Diceros bicornis minor: one gene and its partners. The protein of the gene in region 4 interacts with the protein of the main gene of each other region in a pairwise test. Links are inferred from orthologs where the notes say so. Each region holds a gene or a part of one and is shown on either strand. Other genes may lie near its edges. The genes, in order: CACNB4, TSSK3, MAPK9 and EFHC2.

Region 1 (7,265 bases), on a different chromosome or scaffold from region 4:
TTCACCACCAGCCCAATCTTACCAATCTGATTTGACTATTCAATTTTTTTTTTTTTTTAGTGAAAGGTATCCCTCCATATATTTGTAAATGACACGACAGAGAAATGAGCAGTGCTATTTTTATTGGTATCTCCACTATCTTCTTCATGTGCAAAAGCATCACACAGCCTGTGAAATATCACCAAGAAATTCCATCACTCCAATGTATCAAGAATTCAAAAACAATAAATCACTGGTCATTCTACAAATAATGAGGCTCTAATAACAAAAACAGCTGTTATGCTTTTTAAAAAAAAAAAAAATTTTTGGCATTTGGGTGAAAGCTGTTTAATTTTATTTCAAAAAGTATTGTTAAATTCCATTTGCAATCGTTTCTATTCTCTTGTCAAAGAAATAAAAATCCCTCATTTATTTTTATTATAGCCATTATGGAAGTCCATATTATGCTATTCAAATGAGATCAGGTGTAGGATACTCACAGAACTGTAAGTGCTCCCCGAAATTATGTATTATTTTTGTGCAGAAAAAAGTGGGAAGATTGTGTACATAATACTATTACAACCAACTCCTGATTTTAAATTAGACCATTTTATTAAACCAACAAACCCCAGTTTCAGAAAGACTTATGAAATATATTAGTTCTAAAAATCTGCATTGGTTTAAATTATTCCCAAAAGTATTTAGCATGCAATACTTTTTACATTTTTAAGCCAACACATGGCAGCACACTTAACAAGAACTTACACATGCATTATCTCACTTAATCATTTATTGGAGTAAATTGAGGAAAGAATAAGGATATTAGAAAGAATATTGATTGTTTTGTTTGTGTGTGGAAGACTAAAGCATTAGTGTAGTGAAGGTGTAGATGAACTCAAAACTTTTAGTAAAACAGATCATTGAATACACTGCTGAATAATTAGTATCTCTAAGAATTTTGCAACCATAAAACACTACCAAAAATAGGCACCTACGAAGTAGACATCAACAAGACCTCAAATGGTCACATAACTCGAAAATTTTTTTAAAGACGAAGAATATCTTTGACTTATCAAATACATAAGTAATCTAAACACTGCAAAGGGTATAGAACGCACTTTTACAATGAATTCAGAATACAAAATATATTTATTTTAATAATGCTTATGCTTAATGCTCACTGAATGAAAGAGTAGTAGTAATTTCTTTTTCTGCAGAAAATGAGTATCCGCATAATAAATATCTAACTATGTTTTCTGGACCCTTCAGGAGAGGTCTGAGTCCAATTTTGAATCTAATGCCCACACGTCGTGGATAATCTGTTCAAATTGATGATAATCACTAAAGAAACACACCGCAGCTGCCACCATAGGTTAAAAACACATTACACAATGCTCTGAGTGACCTGGGAGGAAAAGACCTTGGGAAAAGAACTTCCCAAGGTCACTCCAGCAGCCCACAGCGGAGCCCAGGATAAAAGAAATCCTCCCAGGTCACCCAGAACGCACAGACCTCGACAGTTTCTGTTCCAGAAAGAGATCAAGGTGACTCACTTTTGCATGATCTCTCCAGCACCCAGCAGCTATGTAGGGGTGGTTTCATTTACATACATGGACAGTATGAAAATTAAGGACCAATTTTCTGTGTCAAGGTGAAAGGCACCTAAGCGTCCAGCGCAACCGGCGATCTTTAGCATGCACCATGCGCACTAGAAGCACCGAGAAGAAAACCACCTCGAAAAAACAAACGCTGAGTGTAGTACCACTCAGACCCCGGGAACTGAGTGCCGGCCGTCGCTTATTTCGGTTTAATCAGATCCGGCAGCCTTTCCTTAATTAAGCGAACCAAAGAAGCGGTCCCAAAGTGAGACCAAACTTTCTGCTCAAAGTGTATTTCTTTTGACCAGAGCTCGGAGATCTCTCCCAAGACCTAGTCAGAGAAGAGTATTCAAAATAAGGCAAAAGAAAAGAGACCCCTAACTCTCAGCCGAATCAAACCAGTCCCAGGGGCTCTGGTTACGCAAAATCTAGTTACATGACTTAGAGACGTTTCCCCACACACCGAAGGTGCAACCAGAATTATTTTCAGTCTTAAATTCAACGTCCCCGATTTAAACCAGATCCCCGCCGACTTGCGTACACACGCACAAACTAAGTTCCCAGGGCGGTGCGGAGACGCCTGGACCTGAAGTCTCCGGGCGCAGGGGCACAGAGGGAGAAGGACGCAGCCGGAGCGCCCGCCCGGGGCTTCACAGAGGCGCGCGGAGACGCGACCCGCCGCTCCCGCACCGGGGGGCTGCGCCCGGCTCCCGGACCCCGGCGCCGCGCGCTCGGCCGCCTCCCCGACCTGCTTCCTCGCCTCCTTCCCGCGCCCGCCTCCTACCTGTCTGAGGATGAAGCTGGTCGAAGTGGTGCTGCCATCGGATCTTTTCAACCTGCTCCTCCGGGTTGTGGTGCCTCGGGCCACCTGGACTCGACACACGGGGCCAGAGAGAAGCCAGTGAGGACGGCAGCGTCGAGCCAGGCGACCACCCCCGCCTCCGGACCAGCTCCCCGGGCTCCCCCAGAGCCAGCACCCAAATCTCCTCCGCGGTCCCCAGGTACAGCCCCCACCCCTACCCACCCATGCCAAGCCTCGACGGCTGAAAAAACGCCCGAGAAGAGCCGCCTGCGAGCACCCACCACATCCATTAACAAAGACTCTCAGGGTGCGGGGTTCAAGTCCCCGGCATCGGCTGGGGAAGGCTGCGGGCTCCGGAGCGGGAGCGCAGAGACCCGACGAGGTGAGGAGGAGGAGGACCAGGAGGAGGAGAAAGAGGAGGAGCGGGAGGAGAAAGGGACGCGGGGGAGGGGTGGGGCGGCCGGCCCGCGGACTCTCAGGACTGGGGGCCCCGCGCGCCCGGCACGAAGGCGGGGCGCTCTCGGGCAGCGGGGAGGGAGGAGGAGGAGGAGGAGGAGGAGGAGGAGGGGGCGGTACCTGCGACGTGGGAGAGTGCGGCCCGTCCGCGGTCCCGTTCTTGGCGTAGGAGGAGGACATGGTTCACAGCCGCATGGCCCGCCCGTGCGCGGTGGGCGGAGGGCGGGCAGGCCCCCGCAGGCTCGCGGGCGGGAGGAGGGGAGGGCGGCGGGCGTCCCCACCCGGCTACGGGACCCTCGCCGGCCCCCGGGCGCCCTGCCCGCACTTCTGAGAGCGCGACACCTTAAAGGGACCGAGGCGCTTCCTCCGCGCCCGCAGGGGGGTCCCGGGCAGCGGCCCCGCGGGCGGAGGTCTTGCGGAGGGGGCTTCACCGGATCTCGCCTGCCCGAGCCGATTGGGAGAAGCGCTCTCCCACCTAGCGAGCGCCTTACATCAGAGCTTTCCAGAGGATGCAGGGAGGGGAAAAAATCTGGGATGGGGGTGGGAGGATTAAAATAGTCTGCACAGTTTAAAATGAGACAAAGGTGGCACGGTTCATGAATCAGGACTTGGGGAGGGACGCTGGTGCAGTGTGGCAGGGCGTGGGAAGAGCCAGCCGGGGCGTGTGTGTGTGTGTGTGTGTGTGTGTGTGTGTGTGTGTGTGTTTACTGCACTGGAATTTTAAAAAGGCAAGAGCCGACCCTTCCTTTCGCGACTTCACCCGTCAGCCCGCTGTGGTAAGGCATGGGGTTTTGTGGTTTGCTTTTTGTCCGTGTTTTATTTTGTTTTGTCAACTCTAGCCTCAGAACCGCGAGCCATACACATCCAGGCAGCCGCGCGAGACTCTGCCAGCCTGAGTCTGACGGGAGATGCGGCCCCGCAGGCGACCAACATGTCCTGAGGAGTTTTGAAGGTCATTTTAGACCTGCTAAAAAGCAAGAGTTGGCCACGTGCCTTCCATTTCTCCGCGGATAGCTGTTTGCTAGGGAGGAAACTCCTCCTTGAAACCGTACACAGTCTTTGCCATTGTTGCAACCCTTGGTTTCCTCCGGCAAATACATACAAGGGATTAATCTGAGATCAAATTAAAAGAGAGGGAGAATTTGAAGTAATAAGAAGAGGGAAGGAAAATGTAGGCGAAATCAAAAATAGAGAGACCCTGTTTAACTATAACTACTGAATGAGAAATCCATCATTAAAATATGCATAGTATCTCAAATTGTTAAATCAGCCGGTGTCACCTTGCCTTCTAGGATTTTTTCTTATGGAAACTGCCATGTTTAACAATTAGTTGGCCTTATTGAGGTCCTGACTTCCTTTCCTTCACCTAATCCAGACCTTCATTTCTTTCTAAGTCTAACAACTAGTCTCCTAGCGTCCAGGCTTTCTCCTGCACACACATACACACACACACACACTTCATTCCATCTACATATGACAGGCAAAGCCATTTTCCTCAAATCTCTTTGCCCAAGTCACTCTTCTCTAAAATGCACTCATTGCTCTCAGCATCCCATGAGCTGGGTCCCAACTCCATGTTCCAACAGCCAAGCCCTTGTCTCCTGCTTTTCTTGTCACCACCTCATTTCTCCACCTTGATCTCTCCATACAGACCTTCTAGCAAGCAAACAGGTCTACTGGTTGCTGAAACATAGCAAGTACAATCCCACCTCAGCACCTCTGCCTTGGAATGGAACCTACCCCCAACCCACACACCCTTCCTCCAACCCTTCCTCCAATCCTGGCTCAGCTCACTCTTCCTCCACAGAAATCCTCCCTGACCACTCTAGTCCTGGATAGTTTCTCATGCCCCTGAAAAACCGGAGCATTTATTCTCTGGACACTTAGTACAGGCTGCCTTGGTTTATTAGTTCTCTTTTTGTGAAAATCTCCTAATTTCTAAAATAGATTTTTAGCTTTTTATCTTCTATTCTTATACTCACATATAGTAGATATTCCATAAAGTTTATGGGTAATGGTAAGTCTGCCAATGCAGAACTTTCTGCCGTAGTTACCGTCAACTCAATCCATTTTTAGTTCTGAGTCATTTTTATAGTTGATACTTAATCAATATACAGAGAATGAATTATTATGTGGGCACTGGAATTTGAGTTTTCTGGTTTTCCACTGCACACAGTCTCTCTGACTGTGAGTTATCAAAAGAGAATCTACAGCTGCGTGACAGTGAGGAGTTCTCTGCACCTACCCCACAGCAAAACTGGTGAAAATTATTTAAAATATTTTTTTAAATCTCTGAAAATGGTCCTAAGAGTCCACAGCAAATGAAGAAACATTTATTCAAGAAAATTTACTAAAACTCAGTAAGAAAACTGGGAGCCTGTAGTATTTGAACCAAGCCCCACTCCCTCTCTCTCTGCTTGCATGCAGTTCAGCAAGAGGGAAATTCACTCCACATTGGTGCAGCAGAGAACGCAGGGCTCCCTCTTCCCTCAGCTCCCAGCAGGAGGGTTATCTTCCTGGGAGGGACAGGACATCAGCATTTATCCACCTGCCCCAGCTATCTGCTGCTGAGGCTAAGTTCCCATCAAATACAGAAGAGAGGTGGGGGCTTCCTTCTTTAGCCCTGCCCCCACTCATGGGATGGAGGCTGTCCGTTGGGTGAGCACCACTGAGAATACAGGGCCCTGACTGCTCATGGAGAGGCAAGCCAGGAGACCTGGGACTGCTGCCCCTCCCTACCAAGTGCTCAGCTCCTAAAGTGGGGGTGTCACTCTGAGAGAGAGGTACAGCATTGTCCCTGCCCCCAGAACCAGGGCTGAAAGAATGAAGTTGGACCCCTACCTCACACCACACACAAAAAATTAACTCAAAATAGGCCAAAGATGTAAATGAAAGAGCTAAAAATGTAAAACTGTTAGACAACCAACCAGCTGAGAGAGAATATTTGCAAAACATACATCTGACAAGGGGTTGATCTCCATAATATATAAAGAACTCACACAACTGAACAACAAAAAAACAAACAACTCGATCAAAAAATGGGCAGAGGAAATGAACAGACACTTCTCCAAGGAAGATATACAGATGGCCAATAGGCACATGAAAAGATGCTCAACATCACTAATCATCAGGGAAATACAAATCAAAACAACACTAAGATACCACCTCACGCCCGTTAGAATGGCTGTAATCACCAAGACAAAAAACAACAAATGTTGGAGAGGATGTGGAGAAACAGGAACCCTCATACACAGCTGGTGGGAATGCAAATTGGTGCAGCCTCTATGGAAAACGGTATGGAGATTCCTCAAAGAATTAAAAATAGAGATGCCCTATGATCCAGCCATCCCACTACTGGGAATCTATCCAACGCACCTGAAATCAACAATCCAAAGAGGCTTATGCACCCCTATGTTCATTGCAGCATTATTCACCATAGCCAAGAAGTGGAAGCAACCTAAGTGTCCCTCGACTGACGATTGGATTAAGAAAATGTGGTATATATATACAATGGAATACTACTCAGCCATAAAAAAAGACAGAATTGTCCCATTTGCAACAACATGGATGGGCCTGGAGCGTATTATGTTAAGTGAAATAAGCCAGAAAGAGAAAGACAAACACTGTATGATCTCACTCATGTGGAATATAAACCAACACATGGACAGAGAAAACTGGACTGTGGTTACCAGGGGCAGTGGGGCTGGGGGTGGGGGGGGCACAAGGGGTGAAGGGAGTCATATATATGGTGATGGACAAACAAAAATGTACAACCCAAAATTTCACAATGTTAGAAACCATTAAAACATCAATAAAAAATAAATAAATAAAATAAAATAAAATATCAAATCAACCAAAAAAAAAAAAGATGTAAAACTGTTAGAAGAAAACGTAAGGGTAAATCTTCATGACCTTGGATTTGGCAGTGGATTCTTAGATATGACACGAAAAGCTCAAGCACTAAAGGAAAAAAATAAATAAATTGGACTTCGTCAAAATTAAAAATGTTTGAACTCCAAAGAGCACTGTCAGGAGAGTGAAAAGACAACCCACAGAATGGGAGAAAATATTTGCAAATCATATATCTGATAAGACACTTGCATCTATAAAATATATAAAAAACTCTTACAGCTCAGTAATAAAAAGACAACACAATTTTAAAAATGGGCAAAGAATCTGAATAGACATTTCTCCAAAGAAGATTTACAAATGATCAATAAGCACATGAAAAAATGCTTGACATCATTAGTCATCAGAGGAATGCAAATCCAAACCACGAAAGATACCACTTTACACCCACTAGGATAACTATAATCAAAAAGTCAGATAATAAGTGTTGGCAAGGATATGGAAAAATTGGAAACATAATACACTGCTGGTGGGAATGTAAAATGGTGCAGTCACTTTGAAAAACAGTCTGGCAGTTACTC
Region 2 (7,502 bases), on a different chromosome or scaffold from region 4:
CCCTGTCACCTACAGAATAAAGTTCAAACTCAAGGCCTCCTTGACCCAGTTTCTCTTCTGTGAACCCCTCCCTGGATCCCCTCAATTCTGAGCAAAGGCAAGGGATCTGTCAGGTTCAGGCCTGGGTTCTCAGCACCTGGTGTGGCTCAAGTAGGTATTGGTGGAAGTTGACTGAACTGAATTCCTTGAACTTGCCCTCTACTTTCTTGCCTCTGGGCCTTTGCCCACAATGTTCCCTCCACCTGGCATGCCCTTTCCCCTTGCTCATGGACACTCTAGAGCTAACTAGCCCCAGGGTCTGGCCCATTGGCAAGGCTTGTGTTTGGAATCTTGGCATCCCTCAATATCCAAGCATATGGGAGGTGGCAATAAATCTTTTAAAGGAAAGGAGGGTTGAGAAGATGGGAGAAAGGAAGTAAGGGAAAAGAGAAGAGAGAAAGGAAGAATGGGAAGGATTCAGCATTTTGGTGCTGGCAAGGTCCTAGAGATCAGCTGGTGCCTTTTGTTTTTTCTTTTTTTTATACCAGTGAGGAAATGGGCCCAGAGGGAAGGGAATTGACTGAGTGAGGCCTGCCAGCAGGTCGTTAGTAGGCTATGTGAGATCTATGAGGGCCGAGGTCCATGTCTGTCAAGGTCACTGCTGAATCCCCAGTGCCCTGCACGGGCCTGGCTGGTAGACCTGTACTGTCTGAGTCAGGGACATAGCCTGAACTAGAACCCAGTGATCTGATGACTGGTAACACTGTCCAAGGCTCCTGATCGCCATGGAACAGAGTTCCGTGGAATCCTGACTCCTGCCACTCTCTACCCCTTTTTTGCAGGTATCTTTTTCTCCCAGCATACCCAATCTTCCAATCTTTGCATAAGCTGTCTCTGATCCCAGAATGTTTTTTCTTCAACTTCTGCTCATTATTTTCTGATGATGCTGTCAATCATCCGGCTATGCTTGCACCTCAAGGGAAGGCTTACCTATGGCTCAGCCTGGTCAATTATAGTCTCCCATCTCTCTGACAATGGTGATTGGCCCAAGGAGTGTGCACATGATTTAAGAAGGGCCAGTTATTGCCCTTCCAGGGATAGGTATACTGAGACTGGAGAAAGCAGCTCCCTTCCTGGGATTTCCAAGCTGCTGCAGCCATGTTCCCTGCCCAGAGGAGATAATCAAGAATGATGGGGCAGTCTGGTGGGGTTGAATCCTTGGTTCCAGCCCAAGGATGCCCTGGTTCCTACAGTTCTTCCTTTAATCACTAGCTTATGTCCTTCCCAGCCACTTCAAACAATCAATTCCTTTTTTGCTTAAGCTAACTTCAGTTGCTCGCAGTGGAGAGAACTTATCAATACAGAGGCCAATAATTTTTTCTCTCTGAAATTACAATGGCCTCCTAAGGAGGGTGAGTACTGTTTACGGGGGGGGGGGGGGGGGGGAAGGCCCTTTTTCTGCAGAGCAGCAGCATAGGTTGCTAGGCTGAGTAGGGCTTACATGGAGTATGGTGGGAATGGGAACAGCTGGATTACTCTACTTAATAGAGAGAGGAACCGAGAGTCCCTGGGGGGTGGAGTAGGGCTCTGCAGGAGGTCAGGGTGGAGGAGGAGAGGAGTGAAGGAGAGAGAGGCCAGTTCTATGGCCTGAAGCCAGGGATTATCCTGGTGAAGGGGAAAGATAGGCATGGAGGGGCTTTCAAGAGCCAGGGTATTTAAAGGACCAGAGGACTGAATGGTCAAGTCTAAAGTCCTCACTTTGAAGTAGACTTTTTTTTGGCAAACGTCCTCTCCTTCAATAAGCCAATAAGTCCCAATAACGTTTGGGACTGCCTGGGAGGGTATTTTGTGTGGAAGTTGAGAAAGGTTGCCCTTCAGCGTGACCATGGGATTCTGAAGTGCTCTGGGGAGGGCTTGGACTTCTACCCCATGTGGATTAGGGGAGGGGTGTTGAGTCAATTGTATTTAGATCTCAGGGGACAGGAGACTGAACCTGACGTTTGGGTTACATATATTATTTCCAGTGTTAAAATAGTACAGGTTCATGTTAGAATGGCTATAATCACCAAGACAAAAAACAACAAATGTTGGAGAGGTTGTGGAGAAAAGGGAACCCTCATACACTGCTGGTGGGAATGCAAACTGGTGTAGCCTCTATGGAAAACAGTATGGAGATTTCTCAAAAAATTAAAAATAGAAATACCATACGATGCAGCTATCCCACTACTGGGTATTTAGCCAAAGAACTTGAAATCAACAATTCAAAGAGACTTTTGCTCCCCTATGTTCACTGCAGCATTATTCACTATAGCCAAGAAGTGGAAGCAACCCAAGTGTCCACTGACTGATGAATGGATAAAGAAGATGTGTTATATATATACAATGGAATACTACTCAGCCATAAAAAAAGACAAAATCATCCCATGTGCAACAACATGGATGGACCTGGAGAGTATTATGTTATGTGAAATAAGCCAGACAGAGAAAGACCAACACCATACGATTTCACTCATATGTGGAAGATAAACTAACACACAGAGAGAATAGATTAGTGGTTACCAGAGGGGAAGGGGCTTGGTGGGTGGGCATAAGGGGTAAAGGGGCACATATATATGGTGATGACAAATAATAATATACAACTGAAATTTCACAATGTTATAAACTATTATGACCTCAATAAAATAAAAAAAGGACAGCAAAAAAATATATAATAATGCAGGTTCTTCAAAGCAAAATTAGAAAGTGGGAAAATACTCGTTCAGCTTAAATACTGCACTTCCAGGCAGCCTTCGTGTCATGGCCCCTCTTATGGATGGCTTTTAGAGCATTAAGTCTGAGGACACTGAGGAATGTGCTAGCATCACCCATCATCTGGGGGACCTGGGACAAGTCTTTCAAGCCTCAGTTCCCTCACCTGTAAAATAGGAATAAGAAATCAAAGTTTTTCAAACAACTTCTTCCTCAATCTTCTTTCTAGGAATAACCAAGACTCAAGATGGACAGGGCAGCTCCTAACCCCTCCAACAAAGCCAGAGGTGCCCAGGGTAACAAACAGCAGGTAGCAAAAGCTAATTCCATCCTGGGAGAATTAAGTGAGCCTGGTGTGGGTGGCCATTCTCTCTACTCTAAGTTGTCTATCCATCCCTCTCCAGTGGTGAGCTGCTCTGGGCTCCCTGAGTCCAGCACAGTAATGCGAATTCCATTCAAGAACCAAGGAGAGGGATGGGAAGAAGGATGAGGGAGGGCCCAAGCTGAAAGGTAGTCCTGAAAGAGGTCAGGACCAGCAACAAATGGGGGGAGGGGTTGGCCCCCAGCAAGAAGAAAGGGGACCCGGAAAAGCATGCCCCTAGGGCTGGGTCCAAAGGAGGAGACAGCCCAAGGGAAGGTGCTATTGGATGGGGCGGAGCAGTAGGTCGGCCCGGTCCGACGGGATAGACATACACAGCCAGCCCGGAGTGGAAAGAACAGTTTATGCTGTGCTTTATTAAAATGTGCATCATTCTTTTATTTTAAAATGTGCATCATTGTCTCGTGCTCTGTGTGCGCGATTTCAGCGTGGTGGCCCGCGGCGGGCCTCGTTCCCGCCCGGCTCCCGCGGAGCCGCCGTGCGCAGGCGCACTCAGGTGGCGCGGGCCCGGGGGCTCCCGCCCATGGCCAGATAGACGTCGATGGGCACGTGCAGCAGCGTCAGGCAGTGGCAGCCCGGGCAGCGTCGAAGCGGCCTGGAGAGACGGGGCGCGACAGGGGACGCTGAGGCGGGGTCCCGGCCTATCTTGTCGGGGACGCTCCCGGGGAGGGCACCTGGGGTCCCCGAGGTTTGGGCGTGGATGTGGTCATCTACTGGGGGGACGGGGGTGTCTGGGGATGGGAAGTGGGACAGGGGCGGGGCCGGAAGCGCTCGGCGCGCAGCCGTCCGCCCAGCTCCCCCTCGGGACGGTGGGGAGGGCCGGGACGGCAAGAGGGCTCGCGGGGGGAGGGGCGCCGGCCTCACCTGACTGGGTTGTGCTCCGTGGTTACCGGCTCTGGGCTGTCCTGGGATTCGGGGGCGGCAGCAAGGCCAGGGGAGTCTCCGGCCTCAATGGGGAATCTCCGACCCTGCGGGGGCTCCCGGGCACTCATGTCCAGGCCCCGGGGCGCTCTGCGCGGGGAGTGGCGTTCAGGCTGCTCCCGGGCCGCCAGGCGCCCCCTCCCCGCGCCCGCGCCCTGGGTCGTTGCTCACCTGCCGGAGGCCGAGGCCGGACCCAGGCTGAAAGCAGCTGCCTGAGCCCTGGCTGCGGGAGGACGCTCCGGTCCAAGCGGAGCCGGGCAGGTGTCTGCGGCGTGTCCGGGCCCGGGCGTCGAGGGGGAGGGCTGCATTGTGACCCGGGCCGCGGCGCGCTGACCTCACAGAACCCGTTCCTCCCACTGAGGAATCCCCCAGCGCTCCCCGCCGCCCCGGCACTTAGCGCGGCCGCGAGCCAGGTGCCGGAGGGCTTTTGCCATGGCGCCTTGACACTGGGTCGCGCAGACCCCCAGCTGCCCGATGGGGGCGCAGGAGGAGACGGCAACCAGCTGCGAGGCAGCGTCCACCAAAGGGAGCTCGGCATCCTGGGCCGCGCAGACACCCGTGTGCGCCGCCCCCCCCGAAAAGCCTGCGACTCACTGCCTGGCGTGGGGGCGGGGGCGCACCAGTGACTTAACCCGCGCTGGGTTTGGTGGTGGTCGTTTGAGGGCAGGTACGGGCTCTGCCCATTTTGGCTAAGGGTCACACAGCATTTACATCACAATTGGGCCGAAGTTTTAAAATGTCCGGCCATCTCCCTTCCCACTACCCGCGGCTGCTGTGTACAGACGGAGAATGTTCTAGCGCTGGGGGCGGCTGCGGATGAAGTCCTTGGGGGGAAAAGTAGCTGGCCAAGGGCAATGGTGGAGTAGAGCTGCCTCCTGGAGGCAGCATGAGCTGAGAGGGTGATAGGAAGGAGGCGCTAGACAGCATGGAGGACTTTCTGCTCTCCAATGGGTACCAGCTGGGCAAGACCATTGGGGAAGGGACCTACTCAAAAGTCAAAGAAGCATTTTCCAAAAAACACCAAAGAAAAGTGGCAATTAAAATTATAGACAAGATGGGAGGGCCAGAAGGTGAGCTGGGGCCCCTTTGGAAGAAGGGAGGGCTGGCTGAGGTGGGTGGGTGCTTCCTCCAGTCAGAAGGCTCATTCCTTCCTCCCTTTAGTCTGGAACCAGGGAAAGCAAGAGAGATGGTGCCTCTGGGGTAGGTCAGTGGGGAACAGAGAATGCTGGGAGTCCAGGAACATCACACCCTCCAAAACCCAAAATTAAGGTGGCAGGAGGTGGAGAGTCCTCAGAGGCAGAACTTGAGCCTGCCAGGCCTCTCTTATTCCAGGAGGGGAACAGAGAGAGGCCACGGCCAGGGCTAGCAGAGGGCAGGAGTTGGTGCCAAGGCAGGTAGAGATGGGAAAGACAGGGCTCATGGAAAGAACTGTGGGTCAGGAGGCAGGGGTGGAAGGAGTTCGCTCACCTCACTGTGGGCAAATCAGGCCTAATAACTGAGATTCAATGGCTTTGTCTACAAGTCCCCAAAGCACCTTGATATCCAAGGTCTCACAGGCTGCTCACAACAGTCCCTGAGGCTGGCAGGGACTAGTTCCTTTGAATAATATATTAATGCAAAAATAATAGAGGTGAACATTCTTTGCAATGTCCAAGCAGCTAGACATTTAAGACTGTTAAAGGCAACCAAGGCACAAGACCCAGACGTGATGGGCAGACAGAAGCTGGAAGGTAGGAGACAGGAGTAAGGAGTTAGGCCCTTCCAGCCTTGATACCCCATCTCTTTTCCCCTTGTTTCCTCAGAGTTTATCCAGAGATTCCTGCCTCGGGAGCTCCAGATCGTCCGTATCCTGGACCACAAGAACATCATCCAGGTGTATGAGATGCTGGAGTCCGCCGATGGGAAAATCTACCTGGTGATGGAGCTGGCTGAGGGAGGGGATGTCTTTGACTGCGTGCTGAATGGGGGGCCACTGCCTGAGAGCCAGGCTAAGGCCCTCTTCCGTCAGATGGTCGAGGCCATCCGCTACTGCCACGGCTGTGGCGTGGCCCACCGAGACCTCAAGTGCGAGAACGCCTTGTTGCAAGGCTTCAACCTGAAGCTGACTGACTTTGGCTTCGCCAAGGTGCTGCCCAAGTCACGCCGGGAGCTGAGCCAAACCTTCTGCGGCAGCACAGCCTATGCTGCCCCTGAGGTGCTGCAGGGTATTCCCCACGATAGCAAGAAGGGTGATGTCTGGAGCATGGGTGTGGTCCTGTACGTCATGCTCTGTGCCAGCCTACCTTTTGACGACACAGACATCCCCAAGATGCTGTGGCAGCAGCAGAAGGGGGTGTCCTTCCCCACTCATCTGGGCATCTCGGCTGAATGCCAGGACCTGCTCAAGCGGCTCCTGGAACCAGACATGACTCTCCGGCCTTCCATCGAAGAAGTTAGTTGGCATCCATGGCTAGCAAGCACTTCGTAAAAGCAATGGCAAGTCCTCCCCAATAAAGTAGGGGGAGAAAGCAAACCCAAAACCCGCTTCTAAAATGGTGATATATATTTTACACTTTAAGTTTACTTATCCTAAAACTTACCTACACCCTCCCCAGCCTTACTTCTCTTTTCCTTTAAAGATCTTCATGGAACCAGAGGGCCTCGTTCAGACTTCCCTTTTATTAAGGCTGACAAGTGATTTTCATACAGGTGTTTAACTAAAGTTAATTAAAAATAGACCCCAGAATCATACACATACACGGGGAGGAGAGGAGAAAAATGACCAAGAGCAATCGGAACCACTGTTGTTGCAACTTTCTTTCCAAATAAAAGCAGAAGTGTTGGGAATGCAGAAATGGTCTTGATTCCTTGTCTTGGTGAGAGGTCTGTTGGAGGCCCTGTCCCTTCCTCATCCCAAAGGCCAAGCTGAGTCTGGGATGAGGACAAGGGACTTCCCCACGACCCAGGCTAACCCCCATCCCTCCCCCTCCCCCAGGCTCCAAGTGGGCAGCCACCCTGCACATGGCGTGCATTCTGCCTTGCCTCCAAGGGCAGCTGCCATGGGGGACAAGAACAGACCCCCAGACACCTTCCAGCTTCTGTTGAATCTCTTTAATGCTGTTAACGGCAAGTCTGGAAAAGGTTCAGGACAAAGTTCTTTTTTCTTTCTTTTTTAATTACAAAACTAACAGCTGTTAGAATCTTTTTTTTTTTTCCTTTTTTCTTTTCCCAGCTACAAAATACTCTGGGGAGATGCATTATAATTTAAAATATATAATATTGCACAAACAACCAAAAGGTTAATTAAACTAAAGAAATAATTACAAAGAGAAAAATCCCATCCCATCAAAAAAAGATTCAGCATTCTCTCCATCCCACCCCCTCATTGAAGGTTTGAAGTGGAAATGAACACCACTCTCTTGGCATCCCTGACCACCATCCCTTTAAATCATTGGTGAACACACCAGATTATGTACAAGAATCACCAGAGCAGCAT
Region 3 (6,831 bases), on a different chromosome or scaffold from region 4:
GCTCAAAAAGCCTTCCTCTCCACAGGAGGGTGAGCAGGCCAAGGGCAGAGGTCCCTACTCCAAAAGCCAGGCCAGCAACCATGGCGTCCTCCCCAACTCCTCCTCCTCCCTCACCCCCACACCCCACCTCTCACTAAGACCTGAGAATTCCACCTCTCAAACAGCTTTTTTTCTTTACATCAAGTTTATTTTAGTATAATTTACAGACACTAAAAGTCACCCTTTTCCAAGTGCGCAGTTCTGCATTTTCACACACATATAGTCATATGACCACTGCCATAATTAAAACATAGTTTACCCATCATCCCCCAAAATTCCCTCAAAGCCCCCCTGTAGTCATTCCCCTCCCCGTACTTGACCTTTGGCAACCAATGATCTGATTTGCTTTTTCCGTAATGTCATATTAATGGAATCATAGAGGACGTAGCCTTACGTTTGGCTTCTTTCCCTTAGCATGATGTTTTGGGTACTTATCCATGTGGTGCACTTGTCAGCAGGTCACATTCCGCCATATAGACGTACTACAGTTTGTTTGTCCATTCACTGGATTATAAGCATATGGGTTTTTTCTAGTTTTTGACTGTTGCAAATAAAGCCGCTATGAACATTTGTGTACAGCTCCTTGTGTGGACATGTTTTTATTTCTCTTGATACACACCCAGGAATGGGATTGCTGGGTGGTATGACAGGTGTATGTTTAATGTTATCAGAAGCTGCCAAACTGTTTTCCAAAGTGGGTATACCATTTTGCTTTCCTACCAACAGTGTAGGGAGAGTTCCATTTGCTCCACATCATCACTAACACTGGATATTGTCTGTCTTGTTTATTACAGCCATCCTAGTGGGTGTGTAGTAATAGTAGTTCATTGTGATTTTAATTTGCATTTCTCTAAAGTCTTGAAACAGCTTTTTTTGTGTGTGTGTAAGGAAGATCAGCCCTGAGCTAACATCCATGCTAATCCTCCTCTTTTTGCTGAGGAAGACTGGCTCTGAGTTAACACCTATTGCCAATCCTCCTCCTTTCCCCCTCCCCCCAAAGCCCCAGTAGATAGTTGTATGTCATAGTTGCACATCCTTCTAGTTGCTGTATGTGGGACGCGGCCTCAGCATGGCCGGAGAAGTGGTGCGTCGGTGCGCGCCCGGGGTCCGAACCCGGGCCGCCAGTAGCGGAGCTCCCGCACTTAACCGCTAAGCCACGGGGCTGGCCCTTGAAACAGTTTTAAAATCAGTTCCTTCCTCTTGACACCTGCTGCCAAGACCACGGCCCCAGGCCAGGCCAGGCCTCATCTTCTCTCACAAGGGCCTTTGCAATAGCTCCCTAACTAGTCTTGTGGCTTTAAGCCCCACATCCCTGAAACTTCATATGCCCTAGTAATCTTTCCAAAATAAACTCCTAGTTACATTGCTCACTTCTTTTCTTAATATCCATCAACAGCTGCCCTTTATCTCCACAGCCAGGCCTCCACTCTGCAATGCCCCAAGGGCCAGCAGGTAAGGGATGAGTGAAGTTGCAACCAGGCATGGGTAATAGGGAATGGTGGGGACTGTGGTGAACTAGGGGCCTCACCTAAAGGGGCAGCTGCCACTCAGTTCCAGCTGACCACTGCCCTCTGGCAATGCAGGCCCCATGTTGCCAGAGCTTCTAACTATTTAAGAGAAAACAACTGAGCTTTTTCAAGCGAAATCTCCCAATTTTTAAATGCTGGTAACTGGCAAGTCAATTAAAAAACAAAACCTCCTCTCTGGGCTAAACAGGGAATATCAGTGAGCTGAAGCCAGCCCATGGGACTCCAGTCAGCAGTGCCAGCTCACCTGAAGGCCCTCATAACTCTCCAGTCCCTCCTCCCCTATCTCCAGCAAGACCAGGTGACATGTGGTTCCCTGAACGCAGCACGCAGGTCCTCACTTCTGAACCTTTGGGTCTGAGGGCCCTTTCCACCTAAACCACTGGCCCAGCACGTTCCTGCTGGCTTTCCACCCTGGCTAGGGCTTCTTCCTGTCCAAGAGGCCTTCTTAACTGCGTCTCCCACCTGGCAGGCTGGGTCAGCTGTCAGTTATGCTCCTGGGCGCCCCTCCCCTCATCGCAGTTCTCATCACACCTGCAGGATCTTCTCACTGGTCCACCTCACCAAATTCCGTGCACTCTTCCAAGGACGGACCAGCCCCCTTCCCTGCACTGTCACCTCAGCTCTGTGCCCATAAATGTTCACTGTATTTCATAAACCAGAAAAAGGCAGACTCCTTTCAGAAAACTCAGGGTGGAATATGTACAGGTGTGTGTATGTACAATGATTTTTGGTATGCACCTTGCATGGCATGAGTGCTGAAAACTCAAGGCTGGAGTGTGTCTTGGAATGGGTACCCCTTCCTAATCTGAGGAGAAGCCCCCATGAGACTTGGTAAACCTGCAGCTCTGACATCCAGGCTTTACTAGTTTCCCATAATCCTAGATGGCAGTCATTTTTGGTTCCCTGTTTCTGTTGTGCACCTGGGGCAAGTGGCAGGTGAGGCTGAGGTGAGGACAGGAGCCCACCTGGTGGGCTCTCCTCAATGCAGGCCACACTCCGGAGCTAGAATTTCAAGCAGGGATGGGCCATACTCAATCTTAGAAAACTCCCTCTGGTGGCCAAGGTGGAGGGTGCCTAAGAGGGACACCATGGCCGGATCCCTTCCTCTACCCAACCCCTCCTCTGAGGCCCTGGTGCCCCCAGCCTGGCCTGGGTCACAGGTTTGCTGCTCTTCCCAAATTGTGCCACCAACCTCCATACCCCTATGCCCCTAGACCTCCCCATCTGTAAGGTCCTGCTCCTTTCCCCTAATTTAAACCCCGCCCTGGTCACCCTGTGGGCCCTGGCTTCCTGTGAGGGCTGTTCCTCCTCCGGAGTCCCCCACTCTCCCCATCTCCAAAGTCCAACTCCCCCCACCCCATCCGTGGCCCTCTGGGCTTTTCCCCCCTGTGTCCAGCCTCCTTGCCTCACTTCCAGCTTTGCTTATCCAATAAGCGAATCCGGAATACCCAATACCCTGGCCTCTGCCATCATTTCATACGTTCCCAGGCCCGCTGGAACCCAGCTGGGCCGGAGGGCTGTGGGAGATGACTCAAACGGAGGTCGGGGTCAGCGAACTCCAGCCCCTAGGGGCCCTCATCACTGCACTCCCCTCCCCTACTTATGAGCCTGCCCCTCTCCTCTCAGGCAGAGGCTTGAACCCTGCCCCAAGCGCACCCGCCTGTCTAGGCCTCCTCTGTCACTGACCGGCCGGGGACACTTGTCTGCACATGGCCATCTCCTTGCACCCGCTCCGTTCAGATTGCTGGCGGCACCCCTAAGAACCCTTTCCAGGGAGCGGCGGCGTCCGAGGCCCCCGCCTCCCCTCCCCAGTCGCTCGCGGCCGCGCCTCCTCCTCCCGGGAACCACCCCGCGCCGTCGCCCGGGCTGTCCCCACACCGACCGGCTCCGTCCCGTCCAGGCCGCATCGCCGCTGCCACTGCACGTGTAGCCAGAGGCCCGGCTCCTCGGTCCCGCCGGCCCCCTCTCCGCCGGCTCGCTGTCAGGCCGCGGCACCGCGGGCCCCGCGGGCTCGACGGACACAGCGGCGCGCACCCCGCCTGCGGCCACAGGGCGCCGGCCAGCCGAGGCCGCGGCCCCGCCCCCGGCCCGGCCCGCCCCCCGCCGCCATTGGCCGCGACCGCTCGGCTCTCCGCGCACTGATTGGCCGGCGCGCGGGTCGGTCAGGCGGGCACCGCGGCGGCGGCGGCGGCGGCGACGCGAGCGGACCGGAAGGGTCGAAGCGCTCGGCGCCCCTCACACCCACGGCGACGGCGGCGGTGGCGGGCGGGGCGGCGGAGCCGGGGCCGCGGAGCCGCGAGCGGCCAGCGCAGCGCCGCCAGTCCGCCCGCCCGCCCTCTCCCCGGCACGGCGGTGGAGAGGCGAGGTGAGCCGGCGGGCGGGCGGGCGGGCGGGCGGCTAGGCCCGGCGGGGGCCGCTCGGGGAGGGGCCGCTCAGGGAGGGGCGGCGGGAGGGCGGCGCGGCGGGGGCGGGGGGCTGGGGGCCGCGGGCGCTGGCGTCGCCCCTGAGCTCGGCCGCCGCGGGCCCCCGCCCGCCGCTGACAGCGGCCCGGGGCTGCGCGCTCGCCGGCCCGGCGGGCAGACGGCCGCGGGTCCATGGGCGCCGCCCCCGCCGTGGGGCGCAGCCGCAGCCCCGCCGGGATGCTCAGGGCCCGGCCGGGCGCCGACCCTCACGGCGCCCCGGTCTCCCCCGGACAGGCTTGCGGACAGGGTTGTTGTCAGGCTCGGGGAAGGTGTGTGAAAGCGCTGGGCGGGAGCCAGCCCCTGCGGGTGCTAGTGTGGCAGGAGCCCCCACCCGCGCTTCTCCGGGGCCTCGTCATTGCCCACTCGGTGCCCAGCGACGCCAGAGCCGGCGTGCCCACCTCCCCACCACTCCCCCACCCGGAGCACCGCACTCCTCTGCCACCCGTCTTCTCCCCCGCCTTGAACCTGTGGCCCCGTTTACCTCAGGACCTTTGCACTGACTGTTTCCAATGCTTGGAGTCGTCGCCCGGATCTTTGCACAGCTGGGGCTCCTGCTGGTCCTTCCTCCGGTCAGACGGCTCCTTCTCTCTGAGGCCTTCCGTGACCACCCTCTTTCTTCTCGTAGTCCTTCTGTCTCATGTTGGTTAACTTTCCTCCAAGCATTCACTCAGGTGTGAAACGACTCTATTTATGGGTCTGTTTATTTTGTCTCCCCCACTAGGATGTAGCCTTATGAAAACAGGTAGTTGTCTAATTAGTCCACTGCTTTATCCCCAGTGCTTAGAAAGCCCACAGTAAGTACTCAGTAATACCTGTTCACTGAGTGAAGCAGCCACTCTGCCTGCCTGCGGCCTCTGCTCTATCTGTCCGTGTAGTGACTCATGAGTGACGAGTGAAACTTGTAAGCGGATGGAAGCTGGTTCTCGTTTTGTGAAACATTTGAATGTCCTTGACCCCTTTATTTGGTAACTGTCAGAACAAGCTGTGATATAAACTTACATTTCTGTAGCGTTGTCGCTCTAACTTCGCACGTTCAAGAGACATTGCATTATCTGGGTCAGGCTTTCTGCTTGACCCTGAGGACACAAAGGCAATACAACAGGGTCCCTTCCTCAGGAGAGCCCAGTGGAGAAGGCAGACGTGCAGACCTTCGGTGCCAGGACAGAGTGCCACTCTGCGGTGGAGGGGCTGTGCCCTGGAAATGAGGAGGCCACCGGTGGTACTGGAGTCGGGCCTTGCGTGGTGCTGAGAAGTGTGCCAGGCGGGGAGAGGCACAGAAAGGGGTAGGGCAGGGCGAAGGAGGGACTTGAGCCTGGTGTGGGGTTGGGAGTTGGCCTGCAGGGCCAGGTGTAAGACAGTCCGGAGTGGTGGGGACCCCGGAGAACCAGACCTTGCCTAGCGTTTTTTAAAATGCAGAATTCTAGATTTGTATCTCTACTCTCCTGATTTTTAAATATTGGCAGTAGCTAATTAAAAATTTTTTCAGGGGCCGGCAGTGGTGCAGGGGTTAAGTGCGCGCGCTCTGCTGCGGCGGCCCCGGGGCGGCCCCGCAGGTTCGGATCCCGGGCGCGCACCAACACACCGCTTATCAGGCCATGCTGTGGCAGCGTCCCATATAAAGTGGAGGAAGACGGGCACAGATGTTAGCCCAGGGCCACTCTTCCTCAGCAAAAGGAGGAGGATTGGCATCAGATGTTAGCTCAGGGCTGATCTTCCTCACAAAAAAAAAAAAAAAATTTAATGCCACGAGCTGAGCAAAATACAGACCTCATTCAGTTTGGCTGCAGGATTGTCAGCCTCCAGGGCAGGTTCGTAGGAGGGAAGAGCTGCAGTGAGCTGGAAAGGTAGCCTGAGGCCAGGGGAGCTAGGCCCTGCTTGTCCAGATACTCTCCTTTAATTGTCACTGGAGCCCTGTGAGGAGCACCTATGAAACCCATTTCTGCAGAGGAGGAAATGGAGGCTCACAGAGTTTCAGCTGTTTGCGTCACAGCCAGCAGCTGGAAGGTGAAATTTGAACCCAGGTCTCCCCCAGATTAGCGTTCTTTCCTAGTCCCTCAGCTCTAAGTATTCTCTTTTGGCTTTTAATTTGTTCTGGAAGAACAACATCTGATCTAGATAATGTTTTCTTTCATTTAACCGTTTTTTTCCCTTCAAAAGGATACTACAGGGTTAAAAATAATCCTATTTTGGTATAGTCTTCTCTGGAGAGCTTTTAAATTTTCCTGAGAATTTTCAGGATGCCAGGACTTTAAATAATTTGTTGATGACTAAAATGTGTTTATATGGCCCCCCCTAAATAAATGTTAGGGCGTACACTTCAGTTTGTCTATTTAAAATAAAATTTTAGTTTTCTGGATAAAGAAAAGTGCCAGGTGAAGCAATTAATAGTGAGTAAAGCAATTGTTTTTATGGTGCATAAAGTAAAACAGAAACTACATTTTTTTCTTAACGCTATTGATTCAGCAGTAGGGCAGCTATTTTTGGTCTAAATATGTAGTTATACTTCACTCCTGGTTAAGAAGGTGACATTTTTACTTAATTTTCCTTAAAAATAATTAAATTTGTACTTGGCCTTTTGTGATTGTGTGAACTAGTTTCAACATCAGTCTTGATTTTAACTGTTTATTATGAGGACTTTCAAACACACGCAAAATGAACAGGATGGTATCCAGCTTCAACAGTTGTCAACTCCTGGCCAATCTTGTTTCATCCCTAACCTCATTCACTTACACCCTCACCCCCCATATTATTTTAAAGCAAATCCTATATATTATGTGATTTCATCCATGAATTTTTTAGTA
Region 4 (7,398 bases):
ATCAGGAATCGCCTGGTCAGCATTACTTAGGTAATCTGCCTGATAAACCTCTGCCATTCTCTATAAGGCAAGTAACCTTAGGATAATCAATCCAATTTTTGCCTAGTACAACTTCCTTGTTCCTGCTCCCTTCTGCCTATACAATCTCTTGCCTTATATAGCTCTTCGAAGCTCTTTTCTATCTGCTAGACTGGATGCTGCCTGATTCATGAATCACTGAATAAAGCCAATAAGATCTTTAAAATTTACTTGGTTGAATTTTGTCCTTTAACAAATGGTTCTGGGTCAACAGAATATCCATATAGCAAAAAAATACGACCTGACCCCCACCTCTTTTCATACACACATGCACAAATTTCTTCCCATTAGATTATAGATCTAAATGTGAAAGGTAAAAACAACAAAATTTCCAGAAGATAACACAGGAAAACATCATCATGAACTTGGTATAAGGAACTATTTCTTAAACAGGAAATAAACAGACTAGAAGATATTTGCAACACATATATCGTACAAAGGAGCCATATCCAAAATCTATATAGAACTCCTACAAATCACTAGGAAAAGGCAGGCAACCCAGTAGAAAATCAGACAAGAGCCAGGCACTACACAACAGACAATATCCAAATAACCAATAAATGTATGAAATGTGCTTAACTTCATTAGGAATCAGGGAAGCGCAGATGAAAACTACAGAGTTGCACTACATCCACTGACCAAAGTAACTAAAATCTAAGACTAACAGTATCAAGTGTTAGAAAGAATGTGGAGCAAGAGGAACATCAAATGCTGGTGGGAATTTAAATTGATATAATCACTTTGACAGTGTCTACTAAAGCTGAACATACGAATACCGTATGATCTAGCAATTGTACCAAGAGACATGAACCAGAATAGCCACAGCAAACTATGCTTAATAAACCCAAACCAAATCTGTCAAGAGAAAAATGTGTATATAAATGACGTCACACTCATACAATGGAATACTATAGAGCAATGAAAATGTACAAACTACCTCGACAGACAGCCACATGAACAAATCACAATGTTGAGCTAAAAAAAGCCAGTCACAAAAGAATTAAACACTGGACATTTCCATTGATAAGTTCAAAAGCAAGCAAAATCTAACTATAGTGACAGCAGCCAGGATAGTGGTTACCTTTAGAGAAAAGGGAAGGGGTAATGACCAGAAAGGGTCATAAGAAGGGTTGCCACATAAAATATAAGATGCTCAGTTAAATTTGAATTTCAGATAAAGAACAAGTCATCTTTTAGTATAAGTAGGTCCCAGGGAATATCTAGGATATGTATTTTTATTTGCTAACTCTGGCAACCGTGTTAAGAGAGATGCTTTTGGAATACTGGTAATATTCTATTTCTTGATGTTCATCCTGTGATCATCCATTGTGCATTTTTCTGTACATGTGTTGTACTTCACAATAAAAAAAAGTTAAAAAAAAAAGCAAAAGTACACTCAGTGCAGCCAGCAGATTTTAAAATATCTCATCCAACCACTGTTTTTCCTTCCCACTCTTAATCACTGCATGTGAGAGCTGGGAAACTTCTGCAGGAGGTGGGCATCTGTAATCTGAAGTGACGCTGGGCGAAAGCTGTGGGCTCTACTTTCAATTTTTATTAAACTTACTTTTATACAGCATGCTTCTTTCCTTCTGGAATCTTTTTTCATGCCCTGCCTCTCAGAGGTCTTTCTTATTTGTGTGGCTGGCTTAACCTTACCACAGGGCAGTGCTAGGCTAGAAGGCCAGCCTCTACCCTATCAGCCAAGAAATACACAAACCACTGTTCAAGAAGCAAGTTGGACTAACCAGCCGATCTGTGGGGGTCAGAATCCAGTGGTCTGAAGCCAGGAAGAAACTGGTACTTGGAGGCCGACAACTTGGACATAGACACTGTTCAGACTCCATAAAATCGAACGCTTCAATCTGCTGCCTGTTTTCCAAATTTATCAGAGGTTTACACAAACACCTTGAGTGGCTCCATCTAGTTCCCTCCCACCAGTGGATTACTTACCTTCTTCCTACAGACACAACGGACATTCCAAGTAAAAAGTAGTGACCAGTGCAAACAAAAGCTTGAATCATTTCTCTGCTGTTGTTTAAATAAGGGGCTATTTCCTGGCAAAAGTTCTTTCCTGCTCAGGGTTTTTTGTGTTGTTATGGTGTTTTGTAACTTCATCTTGTTTTGAAATGAACCCCTCCCAATTCTAAATAAAGAAAAGAACTTTAAGTTTGGGTGCTTCTCTCTATAAAGTTTAGGATCCAACTTTATAAGCTGGTGGAACCCTCACCTATCTGCCCCCTACTAGCCTCCAGTGTGCCAGGTTTCTTCACTTTAATAACAGAAACTTCCTCTAATTAAGGATAATAATTAGGTTCCTGGGCTGTGGAGACAAGTTGCCTGGAAGAAACCCAGCTTCACCACTGAGATTGTGTAGCTCTGGCCAATGAGTGACTCATCGCTCTGTGCCTCAGTTTCCTCAACTGTAAAATGGGAATAAAAATACTACCTAAAACAAAGGGCTGTTGGGAGCATCAAACGCCGTGTAAGGCGATGAAAGCACAGCGCCTGGCACACCTCAAACACTCAACGACGGTTGTAATCATCATCACTACCATCGGCTACCTCTGAGGGTCCTGCCACCTCTAAGGACTCTACTTATGTATCTCATGTAGGAAAAGCATCCAGATGCAGTTTGAGAGATACAGGGAAGGGGAGGCCCAGAACAAGGGTCCCACCAGCCTATAAAGTTTGGTCGAAGTTGTGCCCAATTCACCTAGAAGGCGAAGCAGAGGCAGGAGGCCTCCAGTAGGGTCTAGGAGGAGACCACGCCTGGACCCCACACTCCGGCCGGGACTTCTGACCCTGGGCGCCCTCACTACTCACGTTGCGCTTGAAGCTGTGGCCAGGCAGAAACGGCAGGGCCATGGCTCTGAGCGGCCAGGGCTCAAGGGTCCCGGAGGAAAGGGACCGTCAGGCAGCGGCCGCCCCTCGGCCGCGTCGTTTGACCCCCCCCTCGTTACTTAGAGACGAGAGGCGGCGTCACCGAAGGAGGAGGGGCTGCGGCGGGCCGGGGGCTCTGGGCGGGGCCGGGGAGGGGCGGGGCCAGGCGGGAAGCTCCCCGCGCGCACCTCCTCCCCCGCCCACCCCGGCTCAACTCCGCCGGCACGCACAGGTCCCCCGGGGCTTTTCTTTCCACACGCATTGTGCACAGACAAAGACTGGCAACTGCACCATTCCCCGCCCCCGCCGCTTTCTAGTTTAACCCCTTTCTAGAGCTCAAAGGCTTTCCGGTACTTAAAGCTCCTGCGATTCTTGCCACAACAGTTTTTGCCATTTGGTTATTAAATTTAGTTCAAACAGACAGAAAAGCGCAAAAAAGAATATGACACCCGCGTGCTCGTGCTCACAGAAATGTAACGCTAGTTAATGTTACATTTACATCAGCCTTTATTTTGTAATTAAAACGTTCGAGATGAAGCCAAAGCCACACACACCCCATCCGTCTTCGCCCCTCCCCATGAAAACCCATTCAGCGGTAACCACCATCCTCAGTCCTTCCCCTGTACATTTTTATATTTGAAATAAATATTTGTAAAGTGCTCGTTCCTGGCCCAATCAGGGTGGCCAAGGTGTGGTCAGTTGGCACAAAACGCGGCCCCTGTCACCCAAGATGCCAAGGCCAAGAGCCTCCTCGATTCCTCTCCCCCACACCTACAGCTAGTCCCTCCCTGAGTCCTACTGGTTGGACACGCTGGCATCTCTTAGTCACCACCTCCTCTCTCTCAGTTGAGGCCCCATTATTTCTTGCCTGGTTTTCTTTCAAAAAAAAAACCAACAAACAACTAAATGATCTTGCCTCCAGAGCCATCCTATTACAATTCGTGATGCACCTGTTACTCTTCTGCTTCAATATTCTTCTAGCCTTTCCGCCCGCCGCCTTCAGGATGCAAACTCCTTAGCGTGGTCAGAGATTATGTCGGGGGGGCCTGCCAACGCCCTCCATCCCTGTCTTTGCCCCCCGCCTCTACTCCAGCTCTGAAAAACCACTGCCAGTTTCCAAACCAGACTCTACGGTGTCTTCCCTCTGGGATTTTGCAAATGTCGCTCACTATCTGCTAGAAACACCCTTCCTTCCTATCTTTCACCTGGGTAACCCCTTCTGGTCTTTCAGGACTTGGTTCAGTGTAGGAAAGAGGCATGGAAGTCTTTGCCATTTCTGGAAAATGTTCCTTCACCTTCTCCACTCCCCCATCTGTATTAGATGCTCATTCTAATTGTGGCTTTCCCGGTACTGCGTTGTAATCATGCGTTTACTTGACTCTCTTCAGATGCCCCCAAATTCCTCCAGAGCAGAGACTTTATCTCCTTTTTTATTCGTAAACAGCATACATTATTCTTTTCTGTGTTTATAAATTTTACACTATAAATTTATGCTGCCTGCTTTTTTCACCTAAAATTTTGGTTTTGAGATTTCTACCTGTTAACACATGTAGATATATTTCATTCATTTTAAACATTGTATGATTACACCACAAATTACTGATCCATCTTTTGTCATCTGATGATGACAATTAGGTTGTTTCCAGTTTTTCACTAGTTATCGACAATGCTGCAGTGCACAATCCTCTCCTGTTCTTTGGAGGTTTTCTAGGCTACATACCCAAAGGTGGAATTGTTCACACTTTCGACTTTATTAGATCTTGCTAACCAACTCCAGAATCGTTGAACCAATTAAGAAAGTTCCCTTTCCCCTTCATCCTTTCAACAATGGGTATTATCAAATTGTATAATTTTGAGCAATCATCTGAAAAAATGTGAAATGGTATACCATTCTTATTTTAATTTGTTTCTCTCTAATTCCTAGCGCAATTGGTCATCTTTCCACATCTTGTTACCGTCTTCTGTGACTCATCTATTCATATCCTTTGCTGATTTTTCTATTTGATCATTTGTAATTTTTTAAATATATTCTGGATACTAATCCTCAGCACAGCAAATATCTTCTCATCATTTGTGGTTTGTCTTTTAATTCCATTTATAGAGTTATTCATTGTACATGAATGTGTCCTTTTACTCTACTCAAATAGATCATTCTTTTCCATTATGATTTGTGCACTGTATGGGAATTCAAAAAATTCTGTAGAACAAAATTATTCTCCTACACATTCTTACAAATATTTTCAAATATTTCTTTTTTGATACTTTTTAAATTGAAATAATTTCAAACCGATAGAAAAGTTGCAGGAATAGTACAAAGAACTCCTGTTTACCCTTCACCCAGATTCCACCAATTGTTTTGTATTTTACCATAGTTGTTTTATCATTCCCTTTATATATACAATTTTTTCCATTTTAGAGTAAATAGCAGACATCATGCCCCTTTACCCCCTAAATATTTTAGTATATATTTCTTAATAACAAGGACATTCTCTTACATAACTGAAGCATATAATAATCAAAATCAGAAAATTAGTATTAATAAATACTATTTTCCAATCTAAAATACATATTCAAATTGAGTTAATTGTTCCAAAAATATCCTTTATAGCAAAAAAATTAATTTAAAAAAATCTGGCCCAGAATCTGATCCAACATCACACAATAGTTGTCACGTCTCTTTATTCTCTTTTTTTTTTTGCTGAGGAAGATTCATCCTGAGCTAACGACCACTGCCAATCTTCTTCTTTTTTCTTGAGGAAGATTCGCCCTGAGCTAACATCTGTGCCAGCCTTCCTCTATATTGTCTGTGGGTCGCCACCACAGCATGGCTGCTGATGAGCAGTGTAGGTCCACACCCAGAACCAAACCCGTGCAGAAGGGGAGAGCACAGAACTTAACCACTAGGCCAGGGGGCCAGCCCCTATTCGCCTTTAATCTGAAAGGATTCTTCCATCTTTCTTGTCTTTCCCGACCTTGATATTGTTGAAGAGAATAGGCCAGATATTTGGTAGAATGTTCTTCAATTTAGGTTTGACCGCTATTTCCTCATGAGTAAATCCACGGCTTTTTGTTTATGGCTTTTTGGCAGGTACACCACAAGAGGAATGCTGTGTCCTTCTCATTCATCAAAGAAACAGGTACATAATGTGTATTTCAACCATGAATGGTGAGGTTAACTTTGATCACCTGGTTAAGGTGGTGTGTGCCAAGTTTCTCCACTGTAAAGCTACTGTTTTTCCTTTCCAATTAATAAGAATTTTGTGAGGAGATACTTTGAGACTATATAAATACCAAGTTCCTCATTAAACTACTAGTGTCAATTGAGGATTTTGCCCAAACAATTTATTACCATTATGGTTACCAAATGGTGATTTCTTAACTCCATCATTCCTTCTACATATATTAGTTGGCATTCTACTTCAAGGACGTACTTTTCCTCCCTCTCCATTTATTTATTTATTCATTCATTTATATCAGAATGGTCTACAGGTTCTTATTTTCTTCAGTGGTTTATAATCTCTTACTATTATTATCTATTTTGAAGCTAAAAGTGTCCCACATTTGGTCAGTGAGAGTCCTTCTAAGTTTACTCCTCTGTCTTTTTGATTATCCCCACCATTTTTCAAGCACTTCCTTGTGCTGTCACTACAAGATATTCAAGATATCTATGGATATAGGTAGATGTAGCTATGCACATATAGTTATATCTCTTTCCATTTCTATCTATAGATAGATAGATACAGATATAGGTATATGTAGTAATAGATATATTAAAACCCATGAGTTTATACTGGTATGTCCAATTCCAATAACACAATAGAGTACATGTTCAAACTCCACTTTCCACATCTGTAATGCTCTTCTCAAATAGTAACAAACCTGAATCCAATTACCCTGAAAATATTTACTTATTTGTTCAATACTAAAAGACCCCTGAAGCAGTTTCAGAATATGTAACTCATGTCGTTGTAAAAAACAAACCTACTAACTAGAGTTCAATGTTTGTTTTCAGGTTTTTTTCTTTAGTCCTAATATATTTAGTCAAAATATTGTGTTTCAAAATGACTGATTTGTTTCCTCTCTCCCCTCCTCCTCTTCCTGTTTAGAGCATTTATGTTAGTTAAGTTACTCATTTGAAAATCAGTCTGGTTCATTGTGTTCCCATGTGTATTCCACATTAAGTTTTTGCTCTGTCCTTCTCTGTTTCTTCTTTGTCTTTCTTATTTTGTAGCTGTGTTTCTCCCTTTTTCATTTGATTAATTTAGCTAGTGGTTTATATGTTTTGTTACTTTTTTCAAAGCACCAGAATTTTGCTTTATTACTTTGACCTACTATTTTCTATTCCTAATCTTCATTATTTTTCTACTTTATTCTTTTATTTTTATTGCTATAAGTGTTTAAGGCTATGAATTTTCCTCTGATCTCTACTTTAAATGT

The links.
Region 1: the proteins of EFHC2 (region 4) and CACNB4 interact in binary tests that used the Homo sapiens proteins (3 or more experiments, as listed by UniProt). The two-hybrid records come from large-scale screens. The link is inferred for Diceros bicornis minor from reciprocal best matches to the Homo sapiens genes EFHC2 and CACNB4.
Region 2: the proteins of EFHC2 (region 4) and TSSK3 interact in binary tests that used the Homo sapiens proteins (3 or more experiments, as listed by UniProt). The two-hybrid records come from large-scale screens. The link is inferred for Diceros bicornis minor from reciprocal best matches to the Homo sapiens genes EFHC2 and TSSK3.
Region 3: the proteins of EFHC2 (region 4) and MAPK9 interact in binary tests that used the Homo sapiens proteins (3 or more experiments, as listed by UniProt). The two-hybrid records come from large-scale screens. The link is inferred for Diceros bicornis minor from reciprocal best matches to the Homo sapiens genes EFHC2 and MAPK9.

Annotation. Positions count from the first base shown.
Region 1 is NC_080749.1:35,966,087-35,973,351, forward strand, and holds the start of CACNB4 (voltage-dependent L-type calcium channel subunit beta-4), read right to left. Parts: upstream 3,016-7,265; coding exon 2,956-3,015; intron 2,751-2,955; exon of another isoform or gene 2,670-2,750; coding exon of another isoform or gene 2,661-2,669; intron 2,446-2,660; coding exon 2,362-2,445; intron 1-2,361. UniProt on the Homo sapiens protein: The beta subunit of voltage-dependent calcium channels contributes to the function of the calcium channel by increasing peak calcium current, shifting the voltage dependencies of activation and inactivation, modulating G protein inhibition and controlling the alpha-1 subunit membrane targeting.
Region 2 is NC_080752.1:47,104,839-47,112,340, forward strand, and holds TSSK3 (testis-specific serine/threonine-protein kinase 3), read left to right. Parts: upstream 1-4,952; coding exon 4,953-5,097; intron 5,098-5,829; coding exon 5,830-6,494; 3' UTR 6,495-6,993; downstream 6,994-7,502. Other genes in the region: protein FAM229A, read right to left, coding at 3,599-3,701, 3,971-4,117, 4,199-4,335. UniProt on the Homo sapiens protein: Serine/threonine protein kinase required for spermatid development and male fertility.
Region 3 is NC_080740.1:93,220,381-93,227,211, reverse strand, and holds the start of MAPK9 (mitogen-activated protein kinase 9), read left to right. Parts: upstream 1-3,826; 5' UTR 3,827-3,933; intron 3,934-6,831. UniProt on the Homo sapiens protein: Serine/threonine-protein kinase involved in various processes such as cell proliferation, differentiation, migration, transformation and programmed cell death.
Region 4 is NC_080781.1:38,620,843-38,628,240, forward strand, and holds the start of EFHC2 (EF-hand domain-containing family member C2), read right to left. Parts: upstream 3,007-7,398; 5' UTR 2,947-3,006; coding exon 2,905-2,946; intron 1-2,904. UniProt on the Homo sapiens protein: Microtubule inner protein (MIP) part of the dynein-decorated doublet microtubules (DMTs) in cilia axoneme, which is required for motile cilia beating.